3 linked regions of the Tamandua tetradactyla genome follow. The protein of the gene in region 2 purifies or fractionates together with the protein of the main gene of each other region. This does not show direct contact. Links are inferred from orthologs where the notes say so. Each region holds a gene or a part of one and is shown on either strand. Other genes may lie near its edges.

The links. Proteins that work in one complex are often made in the same cells at the same time.
Region 1: the proteins of RPP30 (region 2) and RPP40 purify together in Homo sapiens (affinity purification with mass spectrometry; 3 studies listed by BioGRID and IntAct, counting the BioPlex papers as one, with this or other methods). This does not show direct contact. The link is inferred for Tamandua tetradactyla from reciprocal best matches to the Homo sapiens genes RPP30 and RPP40.
Region 3: the proteins of RPP30 (region 2) and RPP25L purify together in Homo sapiens (co-immunoprecipitation; 3 studies listed by BioGRID and IntAct, counting the BioPlex papers as one, with this or other methods). This does not show direct contact. The link is inferred for Tamandua tetradactyla from reciprocal best matches to the Homo sapiens genes RPP30 and RPP25L.

Annotation. Positions count from the first base shown.
Region 1 is NC_135351.1:7,328,578-7,339,699, forward strand, and holds the start of RPP40 (ribonuclease P protein subunit p40), read right to left. Parts: upstream 4,200-11,122; 5' UTR 4,121-4,199; coding exon 3,998-4,120; intron 3,768-3,997; exon of another isoform or gene 3,487-3,767; coding exon of another isoform or gene 3,379-3,486; intron 2,583-3,378; coding exon 2,438-2,582; intron 1-2,437. UniProt on the Homo sapiens protein: Component of ribonuclease P, a ribonucleoprotein complex that generates mature tRNA molecules by cleaving their 5'-ends. Also a component of the MRP ribonuclease complex, which cleaves pre-rRNA sequences.
Region 2 is NC_135339.1:54,519,693-54,530,870, forward strand, and holds the start of RPP30 (ribonuclease P protein subunit p30), read right to left. Parts: upstream 4,443-11,178; 5' UTR 4,418-4,442; coding exon 4,336-4,417; intron 1,635-4,335; coding exon 1,579-1,634; intron 1,273-1,578; coding exon 1,216-1,272; intron 766-1,215; coding exon 691-765; intron 1-690. UniProt on the Homo sapiens protein: Component of ribonuclease P, a ribonucleoprotein complex that generates mature tRNA molecules by cleaving their 5'-ends. Also a component of the MRP ribonuclease complex, which cleaves pre-rRNA sequences.
Region 3 is NC_135328.1:61,312,243-61,321,887, forward strand, and holds RPP25L (ribonuclease P protein subunit p25-like protein), read left to right. Parts: upstream 1-6,332; 5' UTR 6,333-6,405; intron 6,406-6,419; exon of another isoform or gene 6,420-6,719; intron 6,720-7,110; 5' UTR 7,111-7,144; coding exon 7,145-7,636; 3' UTR 7,637-7,946; downstream 7,947-9,645. Other genes in the region: DCTN3 (dynactin subunit 3), read left to right, coding at 4,274-4,333, 4,535-4,624. UniProt on the Homo sapiens protein: May be a component of ribonuclease P or MRP.

The sequences.
Region 1 (11,122 bases), on a different chromosome or scaffold from region 2:
CCACCAACCAGAAGATACCAACCCCAGGAGGAAGCAAGACATCTAGCCTCAGAAATTGTGAGCCATAAATCCCACTGTTTAACACAATCCAGTGTATGGTATTTGTTTTAGCAGCCAGGAAAGGAAAACAGTATGCTACTGATGTAGCTCACTCAATAACCTAAAACCTGTCAAGAGGGACATGGAAGGCCAAGCTCCAGCTAGTTCATTTTCCTCCGCCAAGGATCTGTATGAGCAAACTCACTATCAAGAGAAAATGGACTCAGAATGGACTGTATACAATTGGGCACAGTGGGAGGGAAGCATAAGGTAGAATATCAGTTAAGTATATACACTTTAGAGGCAGAATTCTAAGTTAAGACTCAAAATCTATCAGGAACTTGTGTGAAGTTAAGAAAGCTACTCAACCTCTCCAAGCTTCAGATTCCTCACCTGTCAAATGGGGATCATAAGGCTTACTCTGCACAGTAGTTGGGAAGGTTAAATTGATTAGATTTGTCTGTGAGACCAAAGATGCCTGCAGCTCAGAATGACAGCAGCTACCACTGCCATCTAATTAGAACTCATTACAGCTCCCCTGGAGAGATAACATAGGGGTTAACAATAAGACAAGTAACTGGCTACTACACTGGGAGCTGAACTGGCATTACTCACATAGTGAGGGTAGAAACCCTAGGGACACCCTGAAATACAGTTTCAAACAAATGGCAGAACCAGGGCCCAGGAAACAACCAGAACAGATCAATCAACCCAGGAGATATGACTAGGAATGGAGTAAGCAGCAGAAGGTGAGAACCATAAACATTTTAAGTGAAGATTCTCATTCACAAGGAACTCTTCGCTCTGTGCAGAGCAGCTGTGATCACACCAGGAGACCAACCTTCCAACCACAGCAGCTGTGGTAGGGCCTGCTGAAAGCACAGCAGTCTTTCTAGCCACATCCCCAAGAGCAGCGTGTCTGAACAGATCTGTGAGAATAAAAGACTTTCCTTCTCCAATGATCCTTGTTTTAAGAGGCCCGATACCTTCATGTTATAACATCTGCATCAACACTTGTGGACAGATGTAGCTCAAAAAACAACAACAAAAAAACCCACCACCTTAAGAAGACACAAGAGTGCGAGGAAAGAAGGGATTCAAACAGATATTTTCACACTGATGTTCATAGCAGCATTATTCATAATTGCCACACACAGAAGCAACCCAAGTGTCAATCAACCGATGAATGTATAAACAAAATGTGGTATATACACACAACTGAACATCATAAAAAAGAATGAAGTCCTGACACATATGACAACATGGTTGAACCCTGAAGACATGATGTTGAGTGAAATGAGCCAGACACAAAAGAACAAATATTGTATAATCCCACTGATATGAAATAAGTGATCACAGTCAGAATTTACATTATAGGTTTACTAGAGGTCAGGGCAGGGATGGGAACAGGGAGTTGTTTTAGTTTTCTAGGCTGCTTAAGCAAATACCATGAAATGACAGCTTAAACAATGGGAATTTATTAGCTTATGGTTCTGAGGCCAGGAAAATGTTCAAATGAAGGCATCATCAAGGTGATGCCTTCTCCCCAACACTGTGGCACTCTGGGCCTGGCTGTCACTGGCTGTTGGTCCTTAGCTCATCATGTGGCAAGGTACATGGCAGTGTCTCCTGGTCTCTCCCTTCTCTTAGGCTGCACTGACTTCAGCTTTTTGCTTCCATGCCTTTCTCTCTTATGTATGAATTCATTCCATTTATAAGAACTCCAGTAATAGGATTCAAGACGTATTCGAATTGAGATGGGTCACGCTTTTACTGAAGTAACCTCATCGAAAGGTCCTAGTTACAATGGATTTATACCCAAAGGAATGGATTAGATTTAAGAACATGTTTTTCTGGGATTCATACAACTTCAAACCACCACAGGAGTTAAGGCTTAAAATGATGGCAATACTTGGGTCATGGATGGTGGTGATGGTAGCACAATGCTGTGAATATAATTAACAGCACCAAAACACATACTTGAATGTGGCTAAAAGGGGAAATAGTAGGTAGTAAATACAGTAATAAAAATTTTTTTAAAAATCCATGAAATAGCACTACACAGTGAACCTTACATTAAAATACTGACTATAGCTTAATAGTACAATTACAAAAATGTGCTTCCATCAATTGTAACAAATACACCACACCAAGGCAAGGCGTTAGTAGTAGGATGGTATATGGGAATTGCTTTTTTAATGCATGATTTGTTCTGTACACCCACAACTTCTCCAAAAGGATGAAAATACAGGGGTGGGGGTAGGGTCATGTCTGCATCTGGCTATATACACTTTCACCAGGGGCCTGAATTAAACAAGAGAAGAACCCAAGTACTGTGGCATGGTCTACCTGTAGTTTCCATTTTGCCAAGTTCACAAACACTGCATAGTTTTCTTACCTTTCTTTACAAAGGTGCTGATAAATTCATGTGTAATTAATTCATAAAGAGGTAAATTCTTCACAGAGTAATAAGGTCCAGTTTCCATGACCAGGTTTTTAAGTTCTTTTGATAGTATCCCACATTCAGGAATTAGAAATGAAACCTATTAGAAAGTATAATATAAACAAGGTCTTATTTTCATGCAGTCATGCCCAGGTTCTTAAGGAAAAAAACTGCATCATGAAAGCTAACTACTCATTTATAGGTTTCTGGGCATGAAACTCTTAAATCACCAATTTCAGGGGAAAAAAAAGATATTTGACAATTCAGGGTTTTTGTTTCTGCATTCAAACATACAGTATAGGATTGAGACAGAGCAGAGAATTTTTAACGCGAAGGTATGGCTTGCATTTTAACTTTTGCAAAGTATTTTATGTCCTGTTCCTTTCATTACTTTAATTCGTTTTTGAGGAAATACAGGACAATTGCACATTCCTTGATTTGTTTACCCTGATAGCATCCTGGAATCAAAGGCAATGACCCTCAAGGTATAAGGATTTGGGGCCGTCCAATGATCAAGATTACATGGAAGTAAAGCGTCCCTCCATGTTTCGATTTTCCACAAACAGAAAAAGCCAACAGATTAGACCCTATGTGTTAGGATTCACGCCCTCAATACTGTTTGTGATGCTCTTTCCATCCAAAGGAGAGGATGTTAAAACTCGACAGATTTCAAACATCACCCAAGCGCTCCACAAGCTGAAAGGCTCTTTCCCAAAGCTCTAACGCCAGTCAGTTCCGGGCGCCACCACTCAGGTCTCTGAGTGGTCAGTCAGGCCTCACTAGAGATTAAATTGATCGATTTAAACTGTAAAATATTTAAACCGTTATCCTCTTTAACGGTTGGTGGACTTTTTGGCCGCCTCTCCGCTTCATCGGGTTAGTGGAAAAGGACCCACCAGACACTCGCTTGGAAATCTGGGTCGCTCTCCTCTACTCTCCGCACATTCTGGACAAGCCAATAATTCACCTCCCTGATGCCTCACGGCGCCCCGAGAGGATGACATGTTAGCTAGAGGAAGCAGAGCGCAGCAGGCTAAACGGAAAGTTTCTGGGATCTCAATCCGACTCCCGGATAAAAAAAGAGGCTGCTTTCTGGGCCCGAGCTGGCCACAACGTTCTGGAAAGAGCCATAAGCGTTCCGGCGGCGGGGGTATGAAGCAAGGGCACCAGAGGCACCCGGCCGACACCACGCCCTCCTACCCCGGCGCCCGGGCCACCGCCTCGCATCTCGGGGAACACAACTCCACGTGGGCCGGTGGGGACCTGAGCAACGAGCGGGAGGGTGAGGCCGCGCACTGCTCCTCGGCCCCGCCCCCCACGCCCAAGGCATCGTGGGAGTAGTAGTCTTCACAGACAAGCGAGACGCGGTTCCGAGGAGACGACGGAACGACGGCTCCCAGCCTGCACCGCGAGGACGGCCCCGCCCAGGACCGCCCAGCCCAGCGCGGTGGCCTCTCCACCACACCGCCCACGGAGATCGAGAGGGGATTCCGAAGGCCCGGGTCAGCGACTCACCCTGTAATTGTGGTAATGCGTCTCCACGAGGTGCCGGTGGCGTGACTTTTCGTGGCGGAAGTTGGATTTCTCGCAGACCAGCAAGTGCCGGGGCACCTCTCGAATCCCGCGCAGGGTGGCCATCCTCTCCGCGATTCCGGAACGGCTCTTAACTAGCCTGAGTCGTCGGACCGCCCCACCCCGCCGCCCCGCCTCCTCGGGCATGCGCAGTGCGGTCTCTCGGCGCACGTGGCGAGCAGAGCTTGTGGGTGGGTGCAGCTTGAGTGCCTAAGTACCTGGGACCTTTCTACGTGTTCCTTAGGTTCCCTCCCCTCCCTGCTCTTCTGCCTCTTCCCGTCCCCTCCTCCCCCCCTTCCCTTTAATTAAAAGCGTTGTGGGTTTACAGAGTAATCACGTATAAAATACAGGATTCTCATACACCACTTCATTTGTATTGGTTTGGAAATTGATGATACTGCTTTTTTGTAATTGCTTTTTTTTTTTGCAGTAGTTACATTTGTTAGAATTGATGCGAGATTTAAGTAATATTAACTATTGTCCATAGCTTATGTAGAGGTATTTTTCCACATATTTGCAACCTATTATTTTTTTCATGTGTTATTACTCATCAACCATTACACTGGATAAAGGGGGTGTCAGTGACAAGGTTTTTGCACTCACATGGTCATAAGCTAAAAGCTATGTAGTCATAGGGACATCAAAGATCAAGGCTACTGATTACAATTTAACAATTTCAGGTATTTCCTTCTGGCTATTTTAATGTACTAGAAACTAAAAAGAAATGGCTACATAATGACTTAGTAGTCATAATCATTTGTTAAATCCTTTCTCGGTTACAATGCCTCCCTCTCATTTGATAGTTCTCTCAATCTTCAGGAATATCTGGAAATGGCCATTCCAACTTCTTCATGCTGAAAAGGAGTGTTGACATTGCGGGATAGAGGAATGAAATGGTTGATGTTCTTAGAGAGACTGGTAGCTATGGATTTCAGGGCTTGTCTAGCATAAAAACTATCTGCGGGCTTTAAGATTCTGAAAAAAAAAAAGGAATTTAGAGCCTAGGGTATTCTTTAGAGTTTTCAGGCATACTGTTGGTTGGGGCTTGGCCTACTGTGGCAATTTGCAATAACTGGCTGAAGCTTGCGTAACACTAACCTCCAGCATGACCTCTCAACTCTATTTGAAATCTCTTAGACACTGAAACTTTATTTTTTCTTTTCCCCTTTTGGTCAAGAAGACATTGTCAATCCGATGATGCCAGAGCCAGGCTCATTCTTGAGAGTCATGTTCCATTTAGCCAGGGAGATTTATACCCCTGGGAGTCATGTCCCATTAGCAGGGAGGGTAGTGAGTTTATTTGCAGAGTTTGACTTAGAAAGGCCACATCTGAGCAACAAAAGAGGTTCTCTTGGGGTGACTCTTGGGTGTGTTTATAAGTAGGCGTAGCTTACCATTACAGAAATAAGTTTCATAAGGGCAAGCCTCAAAATCAAGGGCTTGGCTTATTGAATTGGGACCCCTTAATGCTTAAGAGAATATCAGGAATTCCCCAGATGGGGAAATCTAACATTTTTCCTCCACTGTCTCAAGGGACTTTGCAAATACTTTTTTCTTTACTGCCCAAAGTACCTGGGATCTTTCTGGAAGTTCCTTAGGTTTCTTAAGAAGCCATGCATAATCACCCTGGTGGGTTTCTGGAACCATAAATTCACTGCCTTAAATGGAAATACTTGTACTGGGGAATTGGAGCTTGTCTATTATAAGCAACTTTTTCCTCCATCCCTCTGGGTTGATGTCTCTGGACACAAATCCCTTCCATGTACGTCTGGGACATCTGGCTGGCTGCAGGCTGAGATAGGCTGACAGAAAAACTCATGCCCTGGTCAGGCCTGCTTAGGTAGGCTACTCAGTGCCACTATCATAAAAAATGTGGGGAACTCAAAGTGGAAGTCCAACTGAATTGTACAATTGAGGAAACACTGCACAGTTAATTGGCCTCCAAACCTGTTTGGGTGACCACACTCATGCCACATTTCTGGCACAGTATGGCTCACACCTCATTATCCTGTTGTGTATCTCTTAGCTATAAATAACACATGAACAGGGTCAAGAGTTTCTGTTGATCCTTTCAAAAATGTTAGGAACACCCACTGTAGTTTGAAGTATATATGATAACAAGCCCATCCTGCATTTCCCTCTTGCAGTATGTCTCAGAGTTTTATCCTACTCTTTCTAAACACTTCTAATAATGTGTAACTATTGATGATTACACTGATAATTCTGCCATTCTCCATTTCATTTTTCTAATTAACTCCAAGTTCTACATGACTACAGCTACTACATATTGCTCAAGCTGCAGTGTGCACAGCCCAGATTCTTTGCAAAACAATATCTGTGGTGCATCTTCCAAGAGTATTCATTTTACTACAAGGGATGAAAGAAAAGATGTTAAGTAATGGCAAGCTGAGTAATTAATAAGTTAGAACTAAGACAAGCCTGGAAAGTCATCTGCCATTAAGGTCAGTACTCTGTGCCTGAAAAATCAGACTTTCCCAGAGAAAATGGCAAGGAGAACCTATATCCCATTGCTTAAAGTAGGAAAAATTGTAAGGCCTAACAAATCAATGAAAATCCCCAACCAATTTCCCAAATCATGTGTGGCACCACGATATGTTATAAATAATATCGTGTCAGGATAGGAAATGTTTAAAGCATTGCTTCCTCATTGCCTTATGTGCTGATTTGAAACTATTGTGTACCCCAGAAAAGCCATTGTTCTTTAATCCTCATTCAGTATTGCTGGGAGGGATCCTTTTTATTGTTTCCATGGACATGTGGTCCACCCAATTGTAGGTGGTAAATTTTGCTTAGGTGGTTTCCATGGAGATGTGTCTGCATCCATTCAAGCTGGGGTTGCTCACTGAAGCCTTTTAAGAGGAAACCATTTTGGAAAAGGCTTTAGTGCTGGCAGAGATGCATAAAGAAAACTTTCCCCAGGGAAGCTGCATGAAGAAGCCAGTAGAAAAAGTTAGCAGACATCACCATGTGCTTTCCTAGCTGAGGGAGAAACCCTGAACTTCATCTGTTCTTTCAATGAAGTTAGGGTATCTTTTTCTGGATGCCTTTGTTTAGACATTTCTATGGCTTTAGACTGTAAACTTTCAACTTAATAAATTCCTTTTTTAAAAACCATTGCTTTTCTGGCATATTGCATTCCAGCAGCTTGTGCAAACTAAAACACGTTATGTTTTTTTAATAAGCAGTTGCTTTGTGTGCAGTTGCCAGGCCTCATTTATACCAGCAACATCAGAGAGGTATGTCTTCTCTCTTGAGTCTCCAAATCTTTGCAAATTGACTAGCATGATTTGAATGTTCTACCAATTGTATTTGGAATGCAACATGAAACTTTCCCAGCAAACCATTTAATTTTAAATATTCTCTTAAGTTTTATCTATACAAGCATCAACTGAATAATATATTGGGAGATAAATATCTGCTTGGCACTAAACACTCGTCCAGGAATATTGGGAATGTGTTTTGTGGGTTGTGCCTGCATTCTGAAAGAGAAGGCAAAAGTCCCATTTATTTTAAAGATAAAACTGTACACTTAAGTATATTTGGGGCTGAGGAGTCCTTTCAGGCTATGTCCCCTGAGTTCTATAGTTCTGTGTCTATATGATCCCTTGCTAATATTGTTCGTTTCTCCTTCCTTACTAGATCATTTCCATCTGCATGTTGTGCATTAAATGAAACAGACCTCCTTGCACTCCCAATTCCTTTCCATTTACCATACTGTTTCTCAAGCTACCTCCCCTCACCTTCTCTCTGAACACATTCCACTAGAACTTTCCTCCTCACTACTTCACTGAAATGGTTTTTATTGAGGTCATCAGTTACCTCCAATTTGCCAAATCCATGGTCAAGTTTTGTTATTGTCTCAGACAACCTTTCAGCTGCATTGACGCAGATGATACAGTTGTCCCACTTCCTCCTTCTTGAAACACTGCTCTGGAATTTCAAGAGACCCCTTTCTCCTGGCTACCCTCCACTTCCTCCACTCTTCTTCCTTCTGCCCTTCCTCCTCCACCAGATCTCTGGATATCTCAGCCCTTTTTTCTCTTCTGTCTACCTCTGTTCTCAGAGTGATGCCACACAATCTCACAACCTTGAAAACTGTCCATATGTTGATAAAACCCGAGGGTGCTTCATTCTCTCCCCTAAGAAGGTGCACTCAGAACCGCGCACCCAGAACCCATCCTTGACTCTTCTTTCCTTATCACCCCACATACAATCCACAGAACAGGTCTTGTTGGGTCTTCCTGCAAAATTCATCTTGATTACAACCTCTTCTCCCTGTGTCCATTTCCAGAACTAGCTTCAGCCACTTTCATCTCTTAGTGGTCTAGTGCTAAACACAGCCTCTAACACATCTCCCTGCTTCCCCTCATGCTGTTGACTCAGCATCATAGTGGTCTTTTGAGAACACGTTTTAGTTTTCTGCTTGCTAGAACAAATGGATTGGCTTATGGTTTTAGAGGTTAGAAAGCTTGCTTCCGTTGGAGATCATTATCTTTCGGCTGGCTGGCAATCTTTGGGGTCCTTTGACTTTTCTATCACATGCCAACGCAAGTGACAGTGTCTTTTCCTTTATCCTTCTGACTCTGTTGCCTTCCACCTTCTGGCTTCTCTCTCTGTGGCCTTCTCTATAAGGACTCCATCTCTATAAGGACTCCAGTAATAGAATTAAGACCCATCTTGATTCATTTGGGCCACAACTTAAATGAAGTAACCCCATCAAAACTCCTGTTTACAATGGGGTCCATCTACAGGAAAGGATTAAAAGTCAGAAAATGTTTTTCTGGGGTACATAACTCTAAGCTACCACATGCTTTTTATCACACCAGCCCCCTGTTTAAACCCTGCAATTGGCTTCACATTGTCATAGAATAAAAGCTTAGATAACTCAGCCTCTGCCTACCTCACTGGCCTCATCTACCATTCCATCTTTCCTCCACAGTGCTCCTGACCCCTCAAATGTGCAGGGTAGACCCCTTATCCTTTTCTCGGGGTCTTTGTCCTTGTTTTTCTCTAGGTCTCAGTACAGATGTTACCTCCTCTGAGAGATTTCTATCACCGCCTCTACTGTGTAGCCCCACCCCTCTCTGCCAAAAATGTGCTTCTTTAGACAGTTGTCATGATTTGAAATCAGCATGCTTATTTAATTATGTATTTGCTATCTCCCCCCTTCCTCTATTAGAATGTAAGCTTCATGAAGGCTGCAACTTTGCTTCATAATGAGTTACCTAAGATAGGTAGTGTCTGACAGATATAAAGTGCTAGGTAAATATTTGTTTAGTATGGGGGAATGGAGCTAGGGCTTAGCAGAATGTTCCTCTATCATGTTTCTAAATCTCTTTTTCAGGGATATGCTCCTAACTTACAACAGATCATATTCCCAATATTTTATTTTAAGTCTACTACTTGGAAAAAAAAAATAGATTGTATTTTTCCACAGGCATAATAACAGGAATGGTTTAATAAGTGCTCGTTTGTTTAGACTTTGGATTGGAGGTAGAAATAGATGATTCTACAATAATAGCTGGAGACTGCAATATGCCACTCTCAGTAACAGATAACATCCAGACAGAAGATCAGTAAGGAAATGGAGGACTTAAACACTATAAGTCTAGTAGATCTACTAGACCTATATAGAACATGCTACCCAATAACAGCAAAATGTAAATTCTTCCCAACTGCACTGTCATTCTTCAGTATAGAACATGTTAGGCTGCAAAATAAGTCTCAGTAAATTTTGAAATATTTAAACTGCACAAAGTATCTTCTCTGACCACAATGGAATGAAGCTAGGCATTAATAACAGAAGGAAAACTGGAAAAATTCACATATATGTGGAAATTCAACAACACAGTATTAAACAATCAATGGGTCCAATAAAAAAATCACAAAGGAAATTAGGAAGTATCTTGAGACAAATGAAAGTAAAAACACAACATACCAGAACTTATGGAATACAGTGAAGGCATTGCTCAAAGAGAAATTTACAGTTATGAATGCCTGATCTGACTTCCAGAGTTAACAGAGTTAATGCATCAAAATGTTCAGGTATACAGATTTCAACAAAAAAATCACAGTACATATAAAGAAACAGGAAAAGATGACCCAGTTAAAGTAACAAAACAAAATGACAGAAAACTTCCCTATTGAAGGTCAGACATTGGAATTATGAGTCAAAGATGTTAAATCAACTGTCCTAAATATAATATCTCCTATCACATATGCTCCTTTTACATCCCTCTGATTAAGTGGTAAAGGCTGCATTCATTACATGTGATTTATTTTGTCAGTGTTGGCTTCATTTACTTTTGGGCTGTGTAATTAGGTGCATAAATATTTGTAATTGTTATATCTTCCTAATGAATTGACTCTTTTATCATTATATATATATTTTTTACCTCATAACAGTTTTTGACTCAAAGGCTATTTTGTTTGATATTGGTATTTACCCCAACTCTCTTCTGGTTACTATTTCTGTGCCATTTTTTCTGCTTCCTTTCACTTTCAACTTATTTGTGTCTTAGAATTTAACATGTGTATCTTGTAAACAACATGTAGTTGGGTTATGTTTTTCAATCTATTCTGTCAATCTCTGCCTTTTGACTAGAGAATTTAGCTCATTTTCATGGATTAACTACTGATAATGCAGGACTTCTGCCATTTTGATATTTATTTCTTTTCTGTTATACTTTTAAGATCTTGAAAACTTCCATTATTGCCTACTTTTGTATTTATTTGACCTCCATAGCAAGCCAGTTAGAATTTCTTCTCTTTTTCTGTTTAGTATATTTTTCAGATATTTTCTTTGTGGTCACCATGGGGTGTAAGTTTAATATCCTAAATCTAAAACAATCTTGTTTGATTTGATAAAAACTTAACTTCAGTAGAATACACAAATTATGTTCCTATACCTCTGTGTTCTCCACCTTATGTTGTTCTTTTTTTCTTTTTAATTTTTATTAATAAAATCAATCAACATACAACACAAACATTCTTAACGTATGAACATCCCATACTTGGTTTGCAATCAGTGGCTCACAATATCATCAC
Region 2 (11,178 bases):
ATTTTACTCTCTTGGTTAAAACCATCAGGGGCTTCCCACTGAACCTGGAATCCTCACCCATACTTCTCTAACCTCACTTCAGGCTAGCCAGCTCACTAGGCTCAGCCCAATTGGCCCTGTTTTACATCCCAGAACATACCACGATCCTTTCGACTTCAGGACCCTTGCACAATCCATCCTCTGTGTGAGAACACTACCTCTCCAACTTGTCACCCATGTAACAATGGTTCTTCAGGCCTCAGCTTGAATATCAACTTCCTCAAGAAGAATATCAAGATGGCCACCTTGTTACACACTCCCACAGCATCTTTTATTTACCAACCCCCCTTCTAAACCTTACTTACATTTGTCATTATTATTTGCTCAGTGCTTTTCTTGCCAATTAAGTTGTGAGCTTCATAAGTTCAAAGGTCATATATACTATTCATAGTATCATGCTCAGCATTCAGCCTTATGCCTGGTACATGTGAACTGAATGAACAGGATTTGCCAAAGGATTCTTTGATCATGGTATCACTATACAGGTACGATGAGTAGAACTAAGAGAAATCTGAGGATGGGGGAGGAGTCAGTATTATGGGAAGGGGTGGGGAAGATGTCAGTATGGTGTGAGATGAAAAGCTACACTGTTCAACATTAATCAATAAAACTTGCAGGACCAAAAAGAGAGAAGGAAAAAAATGAACTTACCAAAACCTTGCAGTGAGATGGATCCGAAACAATAATTGTCAGTCTAGTTAAAATTTTAATTGGTCTTGATTTTCCCTATAAGTAAAAGTGGACCATCAAAAGCAGCTCAAAATACCACTGGTTGGCTTTCCTCTTTATCATCACAAAGTATTCATTACAAAGTATCAGCTATAAGGGACACTGAAGATCAAAAAAACAAATAAACCCAACCCCCAAAACAGAAAACAAAAGCAAAACTAACTAGTCATTGTCATCAAGGAATTTATATATAACTACAGAAGCAGAGATGCACATACATTAAACCATAACAGAGATAACCTGAAAGTTGTTTAATTTCAAGGGATAAGATCCCAAAGAAGTACCAGGGATGATAAGAGAATACTTCACAGAAGAGCTGAGATTTGATGGAAAAGTAAGGTAGCTAGGCAAAGGAAGGTACAATCCAGATTACAGAAAGCACACATAATTGGGTATGTCTAAATTAAATGAACAGGAATTATGCTTTGTTCACACTAAAACACTTACCTGTACAATTGGCAAAGTTGTGAAGAGTTCAGAAACAGCTACTGGTTTTTCAATTTCCTACAAAAAAATAGAAAGGACTAAATATCGTGATTACAAATTCAGTCAATAGGCACCTTTAAAATGGTAATCAAAGTGACTTATTTAATGTTGAATCAACTTTAAGAATCCTTACAGCACGCAGTTCTTCACAAAAATATTTATCATTTGCACAGTAAGCATCAATTCACAACTGTTAACATACAAGAGAATACTGCACACAGAGAGTGCATTTAAGAAGTATGTTCATTTGTAGCATCCATATTACCAATATAAACACAAGTAACTATAAACATTGGTTTATTAAGCTCAGAAATTGTATTTTACCTGTTTCTTTTCCTTAAAGTCAACAACATGATTGATGGCAACAACTGAATAGCCAACTGAAAAAAAAAAATTAAAGATTCTTGTTAAACATAACTCCTTTCTGTACATACAGGCCCATCCTGTTTTAGCAGAGTGATGTGCAGACTCTGGTCTCAGATTGTCTAGTTTCAAATCCAAGTGCTACCACTTAGAATTATTTAACTGTAAGTTTCAATTCTTCATCTGTCAAATGGAGATGGCAGGACTTAGGTCATACAACTTTCATGAGAATTAAATGAGCTAACACATTTGAGGTACTTTAGAAGAGGTCTAGCTTTATATGATTAGCAAGATACTAAAGACTCTCTATTTTGTGCTTCTCCTTTCCAACCATCATTCTCTTTCATTCCCCTTTGTTCATTTTCATTCTATTAATACTTTTTCTCTCTCACCTATCTTTTCACTCATTTCTTTTGCTTCTGATCCTATATCCTTCAAAAGCCTCTCTCCTAAAGAGAAATGAAGTACTAACTTCCTCACACCACCATCTACTTCCCATTTGAGCTGCCCACCATCAAAAGATTTTCTTGAGGCCAGGCGCTTACTTTATCATTCTCATCCAATTGACACCGTTCTGAACATCCGGCTACCAAACATATGTCTAAATTATGACTTCTATTTTTAAGGCACTTAAACCTTAATGGGGATGATGGCACAAATATTAAAAGATAATGCCTATTAATGAAAAATAGGGGTCTTCTCTCTCACCAGTCTGTCTACACTCCTGCCTTCTTTCCTTCCTCCCTCCCTCCACTTCTTCCCTTCCTTCTTCCTTCTCTTCCTCCTTCAGATGTTTACTGAGCATCCACCACCTGCCAGGCCCCCTGCTAGGTGCTGAGCGCACAGGGTAAATAAAACAATACAATCCTCACCCTCAAGAAGCTTACACTCTATTGGGGGAAATAAGGCAATTAAACAAGGAGCTGCAAAAAAAAAAAAAAAAAAAAAGCATTTTGTTAATGAAAGTAAAGATTCTATAGGAATCCAGCATACAGCAAAATGAAGCCAGGTGTAGGGGGTCAGAAAAAGGCCCAGGAAGAAAATGATCTTTAAAAGTAAACACCTGAGGGGAAGAGAAATTTGTCATACTTTGGCCTCTACTTTCTCCCAGTTAGTCAAATCAACCTGCTCCACTTCTTAACTATTCTTCTCTACTCACTCCAAAGTCTACTCTAACCTCTTGTACCCCACTTGGATATCCTTTATATTGTTGGCCACCAAATAATATCCCTACTGCCCTTCAGAAATCTCAACTAGATTCTGTTTCTTCAGAAAACTTTTTCTACTTATCTGGTAACTTAGGAATACTTCCCTAAGTAGTCTTTAGCATAATTATTATTTAGATAGCATATCTCTGAAGTTAATCACTAGTTTCTTATCACATCGCAAACTAAAAACAGGGACTCTGTTTTCTACATTCTTTGAAAATTTTCCACCCATCAAATAACAGTGCTTTGCCTTCTGACTTATATAAGGTGTGGTAACTTTCTGTTTTATGTCATGAATTCTGCTTAATTTTAAAGAAACAGATTGACTAACAATGTCAATACTTTACCATATATCCTTCAAACATATTTTTAATTCAAGTAACTTGTTAAACAAACCATTTTAATTTTTCTTTTCTGTATTTATCTCTAAAAAATGTTCAGTCTTTTATTCCATAAGCATTAACTGAGAACCTGCCATGAGCCAGTGCTGCTGAGTAACTGTTGTGCCCAGGAAATATATTGAAGAATAAGACTATGGCCCCTCTCTGAAGAAGCTCATGGTGTAGTCAGTAAGAGGCTGCATCAGGAAAGAAAGACTTGAGTTGAGCTACATTCAAGTAAAGAATCATCAAAGAATATAAGTGTTAAAAGACCCATATCATCATGCACAATCCCTTTTTCTACTGATGAGGAAAGCAGACCCCAGGCCGACATTACTAGACTGTGTTGCAAAGGAAAGAAAAATGATTTAAGGATGCCTCATGGGGGTGTGGGGGGTGACGGGGAAGGCAAGAAGAAACGCGGTGATTCTTTTTGCCAGGGAGTGAATTTATCCAGCACCATTTCTGAGAAGTATCAGTTATCAATTCTCACAACAAGCTGAGAACTTTCTCTGAGGGAAAGGTCTTAATGAAGGAATCTCTATCTTCTAAGTTCTCTATCCCCTCACTTTACAGTCTAAGAAGTTAGAAGCCATGCTTAGCCCCAATAATTAGTCCTCATCACTCAGGACCTTCGCTTCTCTTCAATTCAAATATTTGCAACACTTCCACCTTTTGGTTGTGCTGCCTAGTGTGTCCCCCTCCTCTACCTAACCCCCCTTCTAAATAAATAACATTATTCAAACACACGCACCTCTATATTCTCCCCCTTCTCTGAGCCCCCAAGCACTCTACGTACTCGATTCCCGCATTTGCTCAGACATTGTCGTGAGAGGCAGGGAGGAGTGATGTTCAAAGCACTAGCTTGGGAAACTGAACATTTGGAGTCTAGCCCTAACTTCGGCCATCCCTTTCAGCCGTGAGGACCTAAACAAATCTCTAGTCCCCTCTAGGCCAAGGGTTCCCCAACCTGCAGAATAAAAGGAGCTGAACTAGTGACATTCTTCCCTAGTTCCTTAGTGTTCCACGGGTCTGGGATCAGAATAAGACCGCGGCGGGCATCAACTTCTTGGGACCTTCCAGAAACCCTGGAAGACCTGAAGGAGGCCTGGGAAACTCGGGAGACTCACGGTGAGCGGCGTTCTCTATCACCCCCCGCAGAGCCTTCAAGTCGGAACCCGCTCGAACATCCAAATCTGCAAACACCGCCATGCTGCAGTCACATGACAGCGCGCGTGCGCCCATCTGCGCAGTCGCCGGACCGCCCCTGAGCATGCTGGGAATTGTAGTTTGCCTGCGGCATCCGTCCGTCCCTCCCTCCAGTGGAATATTTGCTGGAGTTGGATATTTGAATATAGGGAGTCCCGGAGACTTTCGTCCGCCTGTAAATACGAGGAAAACTTAGGATATCAAAATCAACAGCCCCACTTAATCCTTTTGTCTTTCGAATGAAAATGTGTGATTTCCCCATAGAGAGGTTCGAATCCCCCATGATTCTCCCTTTAAAATAATGTAGAAAATGATTCATTCGAAATGCATTTACTGAGCGTCTTCCGTGACTTTTTTTTTTTTTTTTTTTTTTTGCTATCCTTTTTGCTAAGGGCTGGAAGCGCTATTTAAAGAGTCAGAAAGAACTTGTTTTTCTTACAATTCCCCCTACCAATCCAATCGTTCAAAACGTGCTTAACGTGATGGGGTGGAGGACGAGGGTACGGAGCTGGATCCTAACGCATCTGAAAAGGGTTGCCCGAGCAAAGGGCAATTTATTGTCCGATCTGAAAGGATCGCGTTGATGCTCTTTGCTCGTTGTTGCAGTAGTCAACATCTTCAACCAAGAGGTGGCAGGGCTCCCTTGGTTGAGCGCTGAGCGACACAGGGTTGATAAGGAAGGTGCAAAATTGAAGTGTTTCACAATTCTCCATCTGAGAAATGTACAAAGTGCTGTATGTCCACACATTTGATGTTTCCATATTTTGGACTTTACAATTCTCCATCTGAGAAATGTACAAAGGGCTGTATGTTCACACATTTGATGTTTCCATATTTTGGACTTCGTATAGATAAGCTTTTGACCACATCTCAATTGCTCTATGCTCTGTTGAATGAGTCCACTGATCAGGCGTATGGATGTTTGGATAATACCAGAGTGCTGGTAAAGTTTTCTAAACATTTTTGATTTCTGTACTTACCGTCAAAATTAGTGGTCCATAGCCATATTTTATGTAGTACTTCTTTATGTGACTTCCTTGTTGGACTCAGAGTTTTATGAAGAATCTGTTCCCTGTAGTAGAATGCAATTCTTCTCTTAGTTAAATTTTGTAAAGAAGGAATATTTCGTCTTTTGCAATACTTGATATTTTCCTACGTGAGAACTGAAGGAAATACTACGTTTGCAAATAGAACAAAGTCATGAGAAGCAAACCGTTTGTTTTGCGTCAGAAAATAGTGTTGATTTTGCGGGATCCTACAGACAGTTTCGCCTATGACCACAAACTCTAGATTGGTCAGAAACATGAATGTGTGGTGAAGGTAAATAACATAATTTAATTGTCATCTAAATGGCAGCATTGGGACTAAAGAGGGCCTTTTCCTTTGAAAGTCACCATGCTGCTGCTGTAGACTGTACCCCTGGAATTTTTTTTCTCCTCTGCACCCTAAGCCTAGGTAAAAAGGGAGAGAAAGTGTGAGAAAGAAAAAGAATAAATAACAAGTCACTGAGCCCTTTACTGAGGATTAGGTGATTAAATAGATAGCCACATATGAATATCTTATTTAATTCTCAAAGCAACTGTGTGAGTTAAGTACTATTTTTGTCAACACCAGTGTTTCACATCTGAGGAATCAAAGCTTAGGGAAACTGGTAGAAACAGATGTGGATGTAGATTTAGATGGGATTTGCTCAATTCTCAGTGGAATGGGGAGAGTGGAGAAGAGAAGGGAATGAAGAGGACAAGGAAAGGCTGGAGGGGAGAAGTGAGAGAGGAAAGGGAAAGCAAGGCAGGAGAGAGAAGGAAAGGAAAGAGGTAGAATAGGGGAGGGAAGAGTGGGAAAAAGGAAATGATGGGATGGGATAGGAGAGGAGCAGTGAAGGAGGCTGGTGAAAAGTTGGCCTAGAAGGGTGGCTGAAGCAGCAAGGATCTGGAGCTTAAAGAAGACTCTGGAAATTTCTGGTCAGAAAATAATATTGAAAGTGGGAAAATGAAAGACAGGGAGAAGGTTTGTATGTTTCCAAAAATTAACATTAAAGCATGTTTGATTGAGAAGATAAAGAGTAGCCCTACCTCTTTAACATGAAAAGTGTACTGGAACAAAATAGGCAACTTTAGAAGCCATTTTGAAAGAAATTAAGGAAGGATTATAACTGATATATGGAAAAGATGCATTATGATAAACTTAATGAATGGAAATAAAGAGAACCAAAATGTCAATAGGATTTGTTTTTAAATAAAGATTGCTGTCTTGAAATTGTTGCATATTAAGTGAAAAATAACTGCCCAGGCAACTGAAACTTTTTACAGAAGGCATGCTTACAAGTAATATTTATTGAAAGCAACAGGAAGATCAGGCCCTAAATAGAAACTAGCATTTTCAAATGCAATAACGAAAAATCCTATTGCTCAGAATGTTGGATAAATGGCTTACAACTTGCAGGATAATTTCATGAAAAACTGAATTATTTTTGGTATTTTCCATTGCAGCTGATAAGAGAATAAATATATAAAAGCTATCTGTGTTAAGAATTTTGACGTGACTAAAAATCTTTAGAGATGGTGGCCAAGAAAGGCACAACATTAGGAGACAGTGTGTTTTCGTGGACGGTTAAAAGTCTTGAGGATTTTAGAGTAGACTGGTCAGAATTGATAAGTATGACTATAGATGGGACTCCTGCAGGTGTCAATCAGTGTTAACATAACTTATGAAACATAAGCTTAATGTGGCAATATTTCATCAGGGCACAGAACTTAATCCAATCTAGTATAAATTGTCCAGAAAATTCCTAGAGCTGTTGTAGCAAAGTTCCACAGATTGGTGGCTTAAAACAACAGAAATTTAGTCTCAGTTCTGATGGCTGGTAGTCCAAAGTCAAGATGACCTCAGGGCTATGGTCCCTTTGAAACTTGTAGGGAAGAATTCTTCCTTAGCTCTTCCTACTCTGATGTTTGGTAGCAATCCTTGGAATTTCTTGCTTGCAGCTGTGGCATTTCAATTTCTGCTTCCATTCTTTATCTGTGTGTCTGTGTCTACATTTCCCTGTTCTCATGAGCACACCAGTTATTTTGAATTTAGGGTCCATCCTAATCCAGTGCGACCTCCTTTTAGCTAATTATATCTGCAAGACCCTATTTCTAAATAAGGTCACAATCTGAAGTTTCGGATGGACATAATTCCTTTTTTGGGGGGAACATTATTCAATCCAGCACATCTCCCAAATGGATCCCACTGTTCTCATTAGTAGACCTATATTACAAAAAAATTGTAATGAGATGCCACTGCTGTATTTTGAATTTTCTAAAAAAACCTTGTAGAAATTTGTTTTCTTTCTTGACATTTATATGGCTACACAATAGCCTTTGTTTTGCATCTTGGCCGACAATACCTAACATACTTACTGTCTGGCCCTTTACAGAAAGAGTTTGCTGATCCCTGCCCTAAGTCACTGCTTAACAACAGTGTTCTAACAACACTCTGTCTCAGTTTGCCAGAGCTGCTGTCACAAATACCATGAAGCGGTTTTGGCTTAACAACAGGAATTTATTGGCTTATGGTTTTGAGGCTAGAAGAAGTTCCAAATCAAGATGTTGGCAAGACTTGCTTTTTTGCTGAACCCTATACATTCTGGTTCTGACTTCTGGCAGTCCTTGGGGTTCCTTGGCGTGTATCCCTGCCTCCCATCAAATGGAGATGTGCTTTTTTCTGTTGGCACTTCCTGTTTCTGCTGACTTCTGGCTTCTCCCTGTGGCGCTCTCTAATCCTGCATCTGATTTCTTCTCTTTATAAGGCCTCCTATGTGGATTGAGATCAACCCCGATTCAGTTGGGCCACACCTTAACTAAAAATATTTCTTAAGGGTCCTATTTGCAATAGTTTCATACTCACAGGAATGCAGATTAAGCACATGTCTGAATTGGGGTACCTAATTCAATCCACTAAGCCCTCTATTCCACCTCCCATTTTACCCCTGGGGAGCATTTGGAAATTTGTGTGGGTATTTTTTTGCCTGTCACACTAATTGGGAGGTGGACTGGGTGATATAAGGTGGGAAAGTCTTGTGCAATGAACATATATCCCTTGTTCTACACGAATTTTGAATGTCTTAACAGACATTCATATGGAGGGAAACCTGTTTATGATTATGTGAATATGGAAACTAACTTGGTTTTACATATAAACACAATTTTTTCCCACAATTTTAATAAGCACAGAATTTTCCAGGAATGCAACTAATGGGTAAATAGAGGGAAGACTGTGCTTTATTTGGAATTTTTTATAAGGGTTGTTCCCTATTTCAGAATATCATGTCATCATAGCAACAGTATGCACACTGTTTAGGTTAACAATGCAGCATACTTATATGGTGTGTGTGTATATATATATATATATATATATATACATATATACACACATATATATATATACACCCACACACAGACACGTTCCCATACACATAAACACACACATATATAATCATCTAATATATCTTACCTAATATATGCTATGTAAGTAAATATATAAATAATAATAAGTATATATATACATACTTAACTCTTATTCAAAATACTGCATATAAATTAGAGGTGCTGACAACATTCAATTAGTTATCTTGTCTTACATCTGAACACCTTTATTAGGAGTAGATACAAGTATCTATTTTATTATATTTTTGATCCAGTGGTGCCCAAACATTCACATACTTAAATGTATATTTATTTATTCTTTCCTTTTTTTTCTGAACTATATTACAACTTGGGAATTAAGTATATTTAAAATTATGTTTATAAACTAGGAAAGGAGCATTACAAAATATTTTATTTAAAAAGCCGATTTTGGATCTAATAAGTTGAGAATCATTGCCCTGAATAAAAATCCACTGTGCTTAGAATCTATCCCTTTTAAGAAATATTTCTATTTCTGCAAAATGATTTTTGGTTATGAAAATCAATAAAACTGAATATTGTTTCTATTTGGCACAATCAAGCCTGATTTCTTGGATTGCACACAGCAATACAGTAATAATAATACTGCGTTTGTCATTTTAGTTTAGAAAAATGCATCAAGTTTCCAGTTTCAATCAAGGAATACTGAATTATTTTTTAAAAATCAGCTAAATATTTCTACTTCTCAAGTTGTATATTTTCAATTTAATATATAGTTTACAGCATGGTTTTGCAGTCTCAGCACTATTAACGTTTTGGGCTAGATAATTATTTCTTTCTTGTAGGGGCTGCCTTGAGCACATGGGATGCTTTGCAGCACTCCAGGCTTCTACCCACCAAATTTCTACAACTGTGCAATGGAAAAAGTCTCCAGACCTTGCCAAATGTTTCCTAGGGCACAAAATCCCAGGCCAATAACATTTTAGTGCTCATGGTAGGTAATTGCAGAGGATAGGGATTGGTGAATGTTTTTTTGTTTGTTTGTCTTGGAAGAGAGGTTCAGAAAGCCCGTAGGATGGGGAAAATATCTTAAGATCATAGAAGAGATGTGAATTGGTTTTCCTTAGGTAATAGGCACTTTCAGGGAAGTGGGCAAACTTCTTTTGGGAAGGGATGATCGATGTACCTTTTGAGGCTAGGCCTTAGATCCTAGGTGTCCAGCAAAGTCAAGGTCTCCACACTACAGAAGGGCAGAGGAGACATAGCACTGCTTGGTGGGACCAAGATTCCAGGACTATTCTGTAGTCTGGGGGTGAGGGACAGGGCAGGGGAACCCATAATAATGACTGTAGTTGAGTTTCCCATCAGATAGATAGGTTGGGGGGTGGTCAGAGGTCATATTTAATTTGACTTTAGAAAAATTATGTGACACTTCTTGCACAGAGTAAAATTTATACCCACCTCACATAGCATACGTTTCTCTATGATCTGCCCCTACCCCTCCCTAAAGTCTACCCTTACCATCTTCCAGTGCATTCTAAAATACACAGCTCTGGCAAGTGTACCATGTGTTGGCTTTGCACCTTCCTTTCTTGCAGTCTTCTGATGAATTTTCTCAAATGTTAGCTCTGTGAATTCTTTGGTATCTAAAAAGAAGCATCTCTTTGCTCTAGGCTCCCATATCTTTGATTCATACCTATTTTATGAGGTATTTCACATTACGCTATAGTGATTTACTTATCTGTCTTGTCCAGCAGGTACTGATTATCTGCAGTGCAGGGAACCTGCCTTTCTTATCCATCCTTAGCACTTAAAATGCTGCCTTTTAATATGTAGCTTGTATGTGTTTACTGAATGACTCAAAGAATGGATCAGGTATAGTTTTGCCTGGATGTGGAGTCATGACCATGATGGAAATGTTCAGTTTAGATATTATTTTGAAGAATACAGGATTCCCCAAATTCTGCTGAGCATTAGAAAACAAAGAATAAGATGCATCCTGTCAATTCTTTAATGAAAGTCTCTTTTCATTCTTTCTATTTTGATTCTTTAAACACCCCCTCCCCTTTAGCTTCTGCCCCAATTTCCTGCTACCCTTTCTGGAAAACTCCTGCAAAAGGTAGATCTATACATATAGTCACCATTTTCTCTCTCTCATTATCTTTTTTTTTTTTGGTGCATGTCCAGGAATCGAATCTCATCTTTTTTTTTAATCAGAAAAGTTGTCTAATAAAAAAATGTTGTGCAGAAAGTACAGAGTTCTCATACACTCCCCCACCTCCCATCCCCATTATTAACGCCTCAGTCTCCTTGTCTCTTGAATCTATTCCAGACTGCTTTTATCTCTATGGCCCTAATGAAATAGCTCCTGGCATTTGA
Region 3 (9,645 bases), on a different chromosome or scaffold from region 2:
TGTGGCAGCAGGACAGTGGAACTGATAATCCACAGTGCCCAGCTCCTGGCAGATCTGCTACATACCGCACCCCGTGGGTTCGCCACTGAGGGCACCCTGCTGGGCAACTGCTCCCAGTGCCCCGTGGCTCTTCATAGTGCATGGATGGCTCCGGCTCCCTGGAGGCGCTGCTGCACCACTCAGGGAGGTTTCCCCAGCCAGAAGGCTAGAGTGGAGGGACGGTCGTTTCCTTCTGATCTGCACTTCCCCATGCACTGGTGTGTACTCTGGACTCGGCCAAACAGACCCACCTTGCTCTCCCTGTGTTGACCCTGCTTCCCCTCCTCCCCATGAAACTCTGAAAACCTTCTTCAATCACTTTCCAGTCCTGGTCATTCTTTCTCCATCCCCTATCTTGTCCCATGGAGCAGGGGTGAATTAAATCCACCCAACTCTGCCATCTTCCTGCAATCCCAGTAATGTCTTTTTTTTTTTTCTTTTTTAACTTTTTTGTTGTATAGTATAACATATACACAAAACAAAGAAATAAAAAAGCAGTAGTTTTCAAAGCACTCTTCAACAAGTAGTTACAGGACAGATCCCAGAGTTTGTCATGGGCTACCACACAATCTTCTCAGATTTTTCCTTCTAGCTGCTCCAGAATATAGGAGGCTAGAAGGCTTAAATATTTTTTTATCACCACAATGAACTTTTTTTCTTTCTTTTTTTGTGAAAAATAACATACATACAAAAAAGCAATAAATTTCAAAGCACAGCACAATTAGTTGTAGAACATATTGCAGAGTTTGACATGGGTTACAGTTCCACAATTTTAAGTTTTTTACTTCTAGCTGCTCTAAGATACTGGAGACTAAAAGAATATCAATTTAATGATTCAGCAATCGTATTCATTTGTTAAATCCTATCTTCTCTGTATAAGTCCACCATCACCTTTGATCTTTCTATCCCTCTCTTTAGGAGTGTTTGGGCTTTGGCCATTCTAACTTTTTCATGTTGGAAGAGGCTGTCACTAATATGGGGTAGGGAGATGGAATTAGCTGATGTTCTGGAGAGGCTGGACCCTGTAGGTTTCAGGACTTTTCTGGTCCAGGGACCCATCTGGAGGTTGTAGGTTTCTGGAAAGTTACACCAGTGCATGGAACCCTTTTTGAAATCTTATATATTGCCCTAGGTGTTCTTTAGGATTGGCTGGAATGATCCTGGTTGGGGTTTGGCAGGTTATGATAGGTAGCAATGTCTAACTGAAGCTTGCGTAAGAGTAACATCCAGAGTATCCTCTCATCTCTATTTGAACTCTGTCTGCCACTGATACTTTATTAGTTACACTTCTTTTCCCACTTTTGGTCAGGATGGAATTGTTGATCCCACAGTGCCAGGGCCAGATTCATCCCTGGGAGTCATCTCCCACATTGACGGAGAGACTTTCACCCTTGGATGTCATGTCCCACATAGCGGGGAGGGCAATGATTTCATTTGCAGAGTTGGGCTTAGAGAGAGTAAGGCCACATCTGAGCAACAAAAGAGGTCCTCCACAAGTAACTCTTAGGCATACCTACAGGTAGGCTAAACTTTTCCACTACCTACATAAGCTTCACAAGAGTAAGCCTCAAGATCAAGGGCATGGCCTATTGATTTGGGTGTCCCTATAGTTTGACACGGTAGCAGGGGATTTCCTGCTGGTAAAGTTTAATAGTTGCATATTTTTGCTCACATTCCTCAAGGTACTTTGTCAATAGTTTTTGATGATCTGTTTAATATACTCTAGAATGTATCCAGGCATTACATTAAGCTATACAGGATTAAAGGACCTCTTTCTTATTCTGTGCTCCCTGTGTTTGACTTGTTCAAATGAGCTATACAGATAGGTTGAGTTAGATTATGTGCTACAGAAAATTTGGGTTCCAGACCAAATAAACCTTTCTTCCTTTGGTCTCAAAGAGTATTTGTGATTCTAAAATAAAAACACTTAATCCCAACCTGATTGGCTTCATTCTTATCTCTAAATATCAGGTTATTTATATCCAGTAAATTTATATCCAGTAAATATTTTTAAAAATATTTACTTGCTTCTTTGTATTGCCTTCTTTGATTCCCCTTTTCTTTCCTTATATCTATATTTAGTTATTTTCATAATGGTAAAATTGTCATTTCCATTAACTTCTTAACTAATAACCACCTAGTTTGACTAGTACTAACCTAGTCTCAGACATATATAAACTCTCTATTCCTATATATATTCATCGCTTCCCCTTTATATGTTATGCAGATTACATCTTTTTACACTGTGTGCCCATCAACCTAGATTTTAAATATTTTTTTTTACACATTTGACTGTTAAATCATATAGAGGAGGATAAAAGCACTTATAAACCAAAAGTACAATAATACAGGATTTTATATTAACCTAGGCAGTTACCTTAGGAATGTTCCTTATTTCTTCTTATGGCTTAGAGTTACTGTCTAGTGTCCTTTTATTTCAGACTGAAAGACTTCCTTTACAATTCTTGTAGGGCAGATCTTATGGTAATGAACACTTTTAGCTTTTGTTTATCTGTAAATGTCTTGATTTCTTCTTCATTTTTGAGGGATAATTTGCCGAATTTAGAGTTCTTAGTTGACAGTTTTTTTCTTTAAAGACTTTAAGTATGTCGTCTGGCCTCTATGGGTTCTTTTGTGGGGGATGGTGCATGGTCGAGAAATAGAACTCAGGTCTCCCACATGAAAGGCAAGCATTCTACCACCAAACCACCTGTGTACCCCCTCCATGGTTTCTGCTGAGAAATTCACTGTTTATCTTATTGGGGACCCCTTGTATGTGACAAGTTGCTTTTCTCTTGCTGCTTTTGAAATTCTCTTTTTGTCTTTGGATTTTGACAATTACACTGTAATTTTTCTTGGTGTAGAGCTCTTAAAGTTCATCCTGCTTGGAGTTTGTTGAGCTTCCTTGATGTGTATATTCATGTCTTTTATCAGATTTGGGAAGTTTTTGGCGATTATTTGTTCAAATACTTTTTCTGCCCCTTTCTCTCTCCCTTGTCCTTCTGACACTCTAAGGATGTATACGTTGGTATACTTGATATCACACAGATACCTCACGCTCTGTTCATTTTTCTTGATTATTTTTCCTTCCTGCTGTTCACACTGGACACTTTCAGTTGTCTTCTTTGCAAGTTTGCTGATCTTTTTTCTGCCTGTTCAAATCTGCTACTCAATCAGTCTACTGAGTTTTTCATTTCCATTACTGTACTTTGTAGCTCCAAAATTTGTTTGCTTCCTTTTTATAATTTTCATTTCTTTATTTTGTCAGACATTTTCATAATTTCCTTTAGTTCTTTGTATATGGATTCCTTTTATTCATTGAACATGTTTAAGACCGTTGATTTAAAGTCTGTGACTAGTCATTCTAATGTATGAGCTTCCTCATTATGGTTTCTTACAAATTTTTTTTCCTGTGAATGGGCCATACTTTCATCTTTCTTTGTAATTTTTATTGAGAACTAGACATGCTGAGAATTATGTTTTTTAACTCTAGAAATCTAGTTCTCCCACTCCTCTGTGATTGCTAGGTTTTTTGTTTGGTTTTGTTGTTGAGGGCTGGAACCATCAGTTTGTGACTTTTCCAAACTATTTTTGCTTCCAAATGAGGAATGGAAAAAGACAAGAGAAAAAAAAAAGATACTGCCTCTTTAAAAGCCCTCTGCTGCTTTTGCTTTGAGGAAGGATGGAACAATAGCTGTCTTCAAAGCCAGTTCCCCAGCAATCTGAAGTAGCTGATCCAAAGCAGTGAGCAGTGATCAAACCACCACCACCACCACCACCACCACCCCAGGCTTTGGAGGACTTAGTCCTTATATCCTTCATGGCACTATTAAGCTGCACCAGGAGCCTGGGCTTTAGTCCCCAGTACTGCCTGCCACATGATTGGGGGATGGGAGATAGTAGATACTGCATGGATGGTGAAAGTCACAGATATTTACCAGCTTCTTCCTCTGGCTGTTTCCTAAAATAATTGATTCAGATAGTTCCTGCCAGCTCAGTATTTGTTTTGGGCATGGGGGAGGCAGAGTGTTGGGAATGGTTATTGGTCTTTTTTACTACACCATCTTCGTATAATCCTCCCCATCCTTCTCTTCCCTTGGCAATTTGTTCCTTCATTCTGGGGTTAAGCATCACATTTTCTGGGCTGTATGGGGAGTGGGGGTCTCTGGTGAGCAGGAAGTAGGAGGTGGGGTTTTTGCCTAACTCCATTCTTTGCCCCTCCCTGGCCCCGCAGGACCAGTGTATGGAGATCACTGAGGAGTCCAAGGCTCTCCTGGAGGAATACAACAAGATTGTATCCTTTCTGCTCAACCAGGCCCCTAATGGGTTCTGTCCCCAAGCCCCATCCTTTTGTCCCACATCAATTCTCTCAGCCCTTCCCAACCAGCCTGTCTATTCCCCTGTTCCCCCACCCCACCCATTTTGGCTCACAAGAAGTCTCTCCAATCCCTCATTTAAATTCCTGTTCTTTTCACCTTGACTTGTGTGTGAACAGACAATGCTTCTCTCCAAGCAATTTGTGCAGTGGGATGAGTTGCTTTGCCAGCTAGAGGCTGCCAAGCAAGTGAAACCGGTGGAGGAATGATACTGCTCCCCATCCCAGGATGGCCAGGCTCCAAGGCCCTGTTCCAGCTGCCTCTGTAGCTGTGCAGAGGCAGCTTTCTATATTTATTGGACCTACAACCACCTGTTCACACTCAGGTGGGGCTCTGAGGCCAGAGATCAGGGGTTACCTGGGATTTGCAATTTGCACCACCCCCCAGTCAGTGCCCTCATTTCAGTGACAATAAACTATAAATACCAATGGGAGTGTGCTGGCTTTTGTTCTAGCATGGGGGTGGTGGAGCGCAGAGCTGACAACCAGCCTAGTGGTTGGACTGGGAACTACACTCATCTTGGTCTGTCTTTCAAGGAGGTGTGGAGCTCTCACAGTGGAGGCTCCCATTTGATTCTTATGAGTGGCACATTCTTTTATGCATCTATTTATCCTATGTCTAAGCACCAACTAAATGCCAGACCCCATACATGGTGGGAAGGAAGCAGGTAGAACCCATTTAGGGGAGAAGCCAGCCAAGGAAAAAAGCAGTCACACCAGATGGTCACAGGGTCGTTTGGTCCAAAAGAGGCTAATAGGGGAGGCAGGCCTGGTGGGTGATAGGCTATGATTTTGAGAGCCAAGGAAGCAGTATGTATAAAGGCAGAGAGGTGCCTTGAAGTTTCTTTCCTGGGAACCTACTTGGTGCTATTAGTTGAGAAGGGGAGCCCCAGAAGAGATGGAAGGTTTGGATATCGAGAGTTTTAGGTTCTGGGGAAAGGGAATTGGGAAGGAGATGGGGGAACGTGATGAGAAACAGCAGGGAGAGACTGAGCTCTGTACCAAACTCCAAAAAGTGTTTGCTGCCCCCTTGTGGTCTCAAAGAGTACTCTGGCTTCAGACCCCTTTCCAACTGCCTGCCTGCCACCCCACCTACGCGGGTTCATTAGCCTCAAATTCAGCCTGTCAAAACTGGTCTAAAACCTGAGAATCATCCTAGACTCTTCCTTCCTTCCTTCGTTTCTTCCTTCCTTCCTTCCTTCCTTCCTGTCTATCCAAACAGTCGCCAACTTTCTACTGAATACCTCTTCTGTATCTCCCAACCTAGTCTACTTCTCTTCATTTCCACTGCCATTTCTATTTCATTCATTCAACAAATCATTTAAAAAATAACGGAGCGTCTGGTTAGCCGCTGGCCACGGTAACAAGCTCCATGACACGGCCCCGGGACCCCGCGGCCAAAGGTTACCAGCGGTTGCGGCTCGATTTCCCCCACCAACCTCTTCTCTGTGGCTACAGTGAGCTGTGCACACGACCTGGTTCAACTGGCCCGTGTTGAAAACCCCTCCGTGGCTCGCCAGTTCCCACAGGATGAGGTTGAAATTCAGAACTCAGTAATCAAGTGTCTTGCCTGTGCAGCAGCAGCCACTTCCAACTAAACCTTTTGCTCCCTTTGCTATTGCCGTGTCCGTTAACTGCAGTTTTCCCATCTTCCAAAGGTTAATCCTCCCCATGCTTCAGACTCTGAACTCCTCTGAAGGCCGTCCCTTCTATCCACAAGGCTCTTTCCTCCTCACCGTCCCACCTGTGGGAGTGCCTCTGCCCAGGGCGTGGCAGCGGATACCTTGCGCCTGCACCCAGTCCCGGGCGTCCTAGCTCTGCTCAGTCTGGGTGTTCTGAATGGTTCTCAGTTGCCACTGCAGAGAGGCCGGGCGGGCCGCGTTGCCTCCGGCCCCGCCCCCGAGCGGCGTGCGCGGCCCCGCAATTTCGGCGCGCTCCCGGACCGCGCGCCATCTTAGCTCTGGACCCGGCGTGTGGGGCGCTGCGGCGCGGTGAGAGTTGGGACCTGGTGGGGTGGGGGGCGCCTGGACGTGGAGGTGGAGAGAAGGGAGGGCAGGCGGGTTTCTCAACGGCTGCGGCCCTCGGGGTACTGGGAGCGGCTTGGCGGCGAAGGACACTGTTGAGACCGGCCAGGCCACCGGTTGACGTCAAGAACACGCTAAGCAGCCGCCGGTGTCGAACCTCTGCTCCTTGAGTGACCTGAGCTGAGAGAGATCGACCCTGGGAATCTTGGGGTCGGGGATGTCCCGCCTTGTGCAGGGGAGCCCCGAGTGGAGAGGTCGGTTCTCTTCTTGGGGGGCCCTAGGTGAGGACTCTTGGCTCTGGCGTGCGGAGAGGGAACTTGACAAGGACGCGGGGGCCGGGCCCTGTGCCTAGGATCCCAGAATGAGGACACCAGTCCCAGGCTTAGGGAGCTTGGGATGTGGGTGCTTGATGCTATCTCAGGGGCTCCAGAATGGGGGCGGGGATGGGGACGGTATGGCTTTGTCCGGAGGAAAAGGGAACAGGAAGTATAGGGTACAGTCCATCCTAGAGTGAGGCAGACATGGTCCATGTCCTGAGATGCTGAGGATGAAGTAATATGGTCCTGTCTCCTGGAAGTCTAGGGTGAGGAGTAGGGCTGTGTCCTGGAGAGTCAGGGTGGGGGATGACCTGGGACACACTGCCTAGCACTCATATTTGATACTTCCCTGCAGTGTGCAGCAAGAGTCGCAGACGTGATCAAGCAGTATGGAGCACTACCGGAAAGCTGGCTCTGTGGAGCTCCCAGTGTCTTCCCCAATGCCTCAGCTACCTCCTGATACCTTGGAGATGCGGGTCCGAGATGGCAGCAAAATCCGCAACCTGCTGGGACTGGCACTGGGTCAGCTGGAAGGCGGCAGCACCCGGCATGTGGTGTTCTCAGGTTCTGGCCGAGCTGCAGGGAAGGCTGTCAGCTGCGCTGAGATTGTCAAGCGTCGGGTACCAGGCCTGCACCAGCTCACCAAGCTACTCTTCCTGCAGACTGAGGACAGTTGGGTCCCAGCCTCACCCAACACAGGCCTAGACCCCCTCACAGTGCGCCGCCACGTGCCTGCAGTGTGGGTACTGCTTAGCCGGGACCCTCTGGACCCCAATGAGTATGGCTACCAGCCCCCAGGGGCACCCCCTGGCCTGGGCTCCACACCCAGTTCCAGCTATGGCCCCCGACCCCGAAGAAGGGCTCGAGACACCCGATCCTGAGGACATGCTGAGCCAGGCTGTTTTCCAAGCCTCAGTTTCTGGGATGGCTGTGCCTTCTTCCAGAATCCTTTCCAGTTGCTCAACATCTCCAACAAGACTTGGATCCACAGAAGTGGCTTTGCTGTCCTTCCTCTGCCGCCTGAAATATGATAAGGGTTTGCTATAAAGAGTAACAGGTGTTAGGTCTGGATTCTGGATTACTTAAGAAGGGCCCATGCTGCTTTCCACCTATAGTGCCTCTGCTCTGCCTTTTGGACAGCGATCCAGGGAGTGAGTTAGGAAATAAAGGTTCTGCCCATTTGTCTGATGAGCCATTGCTCAGCCTGATGTGTGGAGGTGGAATTGGGGGAATGGATGCCCTTGCCTTCTGGGAGCTCATGGGCTGGAGACAGATATAATAGGCTCAGGCTTGTGTGGGGATGGTCTAGAATCTATGAGAAACTTAATAAGCCTGAATATATCTAGGCTTCTGGGTGACTGCCTGCCACCTGCTTTGGGTTGGTTTAGGGACTCTCCCTCAGGTCAGACACTTTTCTATCTGCGGACATATCTTATGGAACTTAGGCACCAGGCTGCTGGGATTTGAATCCTGGCTCAACCACTTAATTGTTTTGTGACCTTGGGCAAGTTACTGTTCTGAGCCTTAGTATTCTCTTCTGCAAAATGAGATTTAGTGCTTATCTCATAGAGTTTTTATTGTTTTTTTAAAAATGTTTTTGAGATATCTTCATATATGTACAATCCATCCAAAATATGTAGTGGGTTACAATATCATCACATAGTTGTGTATTCATCACGATGATCATTTTAAAAATATTTGCATCACAACAGAAAAAAAAATAAAAAGGAAAAGCCCATACATCCCATACCCCTTATCCCTCCCTCTCATTGACCACTAGTATTGCAATGTACCGCAATTTTTTTTTATCCCTTATACATCCCCCTCACATTTATTTTTTTGTCCCTTTTTTTTTTTACTCATCTCTCCATACTCTGGTAAAGGGAAGTGTCAACCACAAGGTTTTCACAATCACATAGTCACATTGTAAAAGCTATATAGTTGTACAGTCATCGAGAATCAAGGCTACTGGAACAGTAGTTCAACAGTTTCAGATATTTCCCCCCAGCCATTCCAATATACCACAGATTAAAAAGAGATATCTATATAACACATATGAATAGCCTCCAGGATAACCTCTTGACTCTGAAATCTCTCAGCCATTGAAATTTTATTTTGTCTCATTTCTCTCTTCCCCCTTTTGGTCAAGAAGGCTGTCTCAATTCCATGATACCGGGTTCTGGCTCATCTCCAGAAGTCATGTTCCATATTGCCAGTGAGATTTATACCTCTGGGAGCCTTTTCCAACAGAGGGGAGAGGGCAGTGATTTCACCTACTGAGTTGGCTTAGAGAGAGAGGGGCCACATCTGAGCAACAAAAGAGTTCTTGGCGGGTGACTTTTAGTTCTAATTATAAGTAGGCTTAGCTTCTTTGGAGGAATAAATTCCATAAGGGCATGCCCCAAGATGAAGGGCTTGGCCTGTTAATAGTCCCCACTGCTTGCAAGAATATCAGCAATTCTCCAGATAGGGAAGTTTAATATTTCCTCCTTTCTCCCCAGTTCCCTAAGGGGGCTTTGCAAATACTTTTTAATTCTCTGCCCAAATTACTCTGGGATGTATCAGGGTATCACACTAATCTGTACAAACCAGCAAGATCTCACACCCAATTCAGGATTCCCTGTAATTCCTCATAGGGTTTTTATGAGGATTAAATGAAGTAATATACACATTAGATACCACCTGAACACATGGTACCCTATAGATGTTAATTGCCATTATTAATGACTCAGTCTATAAACATACTTTTTCCTATCTTAAAACACTTCAATACACATCCCCCTCCGGGTCTGATTCTTGCCTTTCTGCCCCTTTTGGCTTCTTTGCTTCACTTTGGACTGAGACTCTCAGATCTATCATGGTGAGGCCAGCGGCACGATGAGAGAAGTAA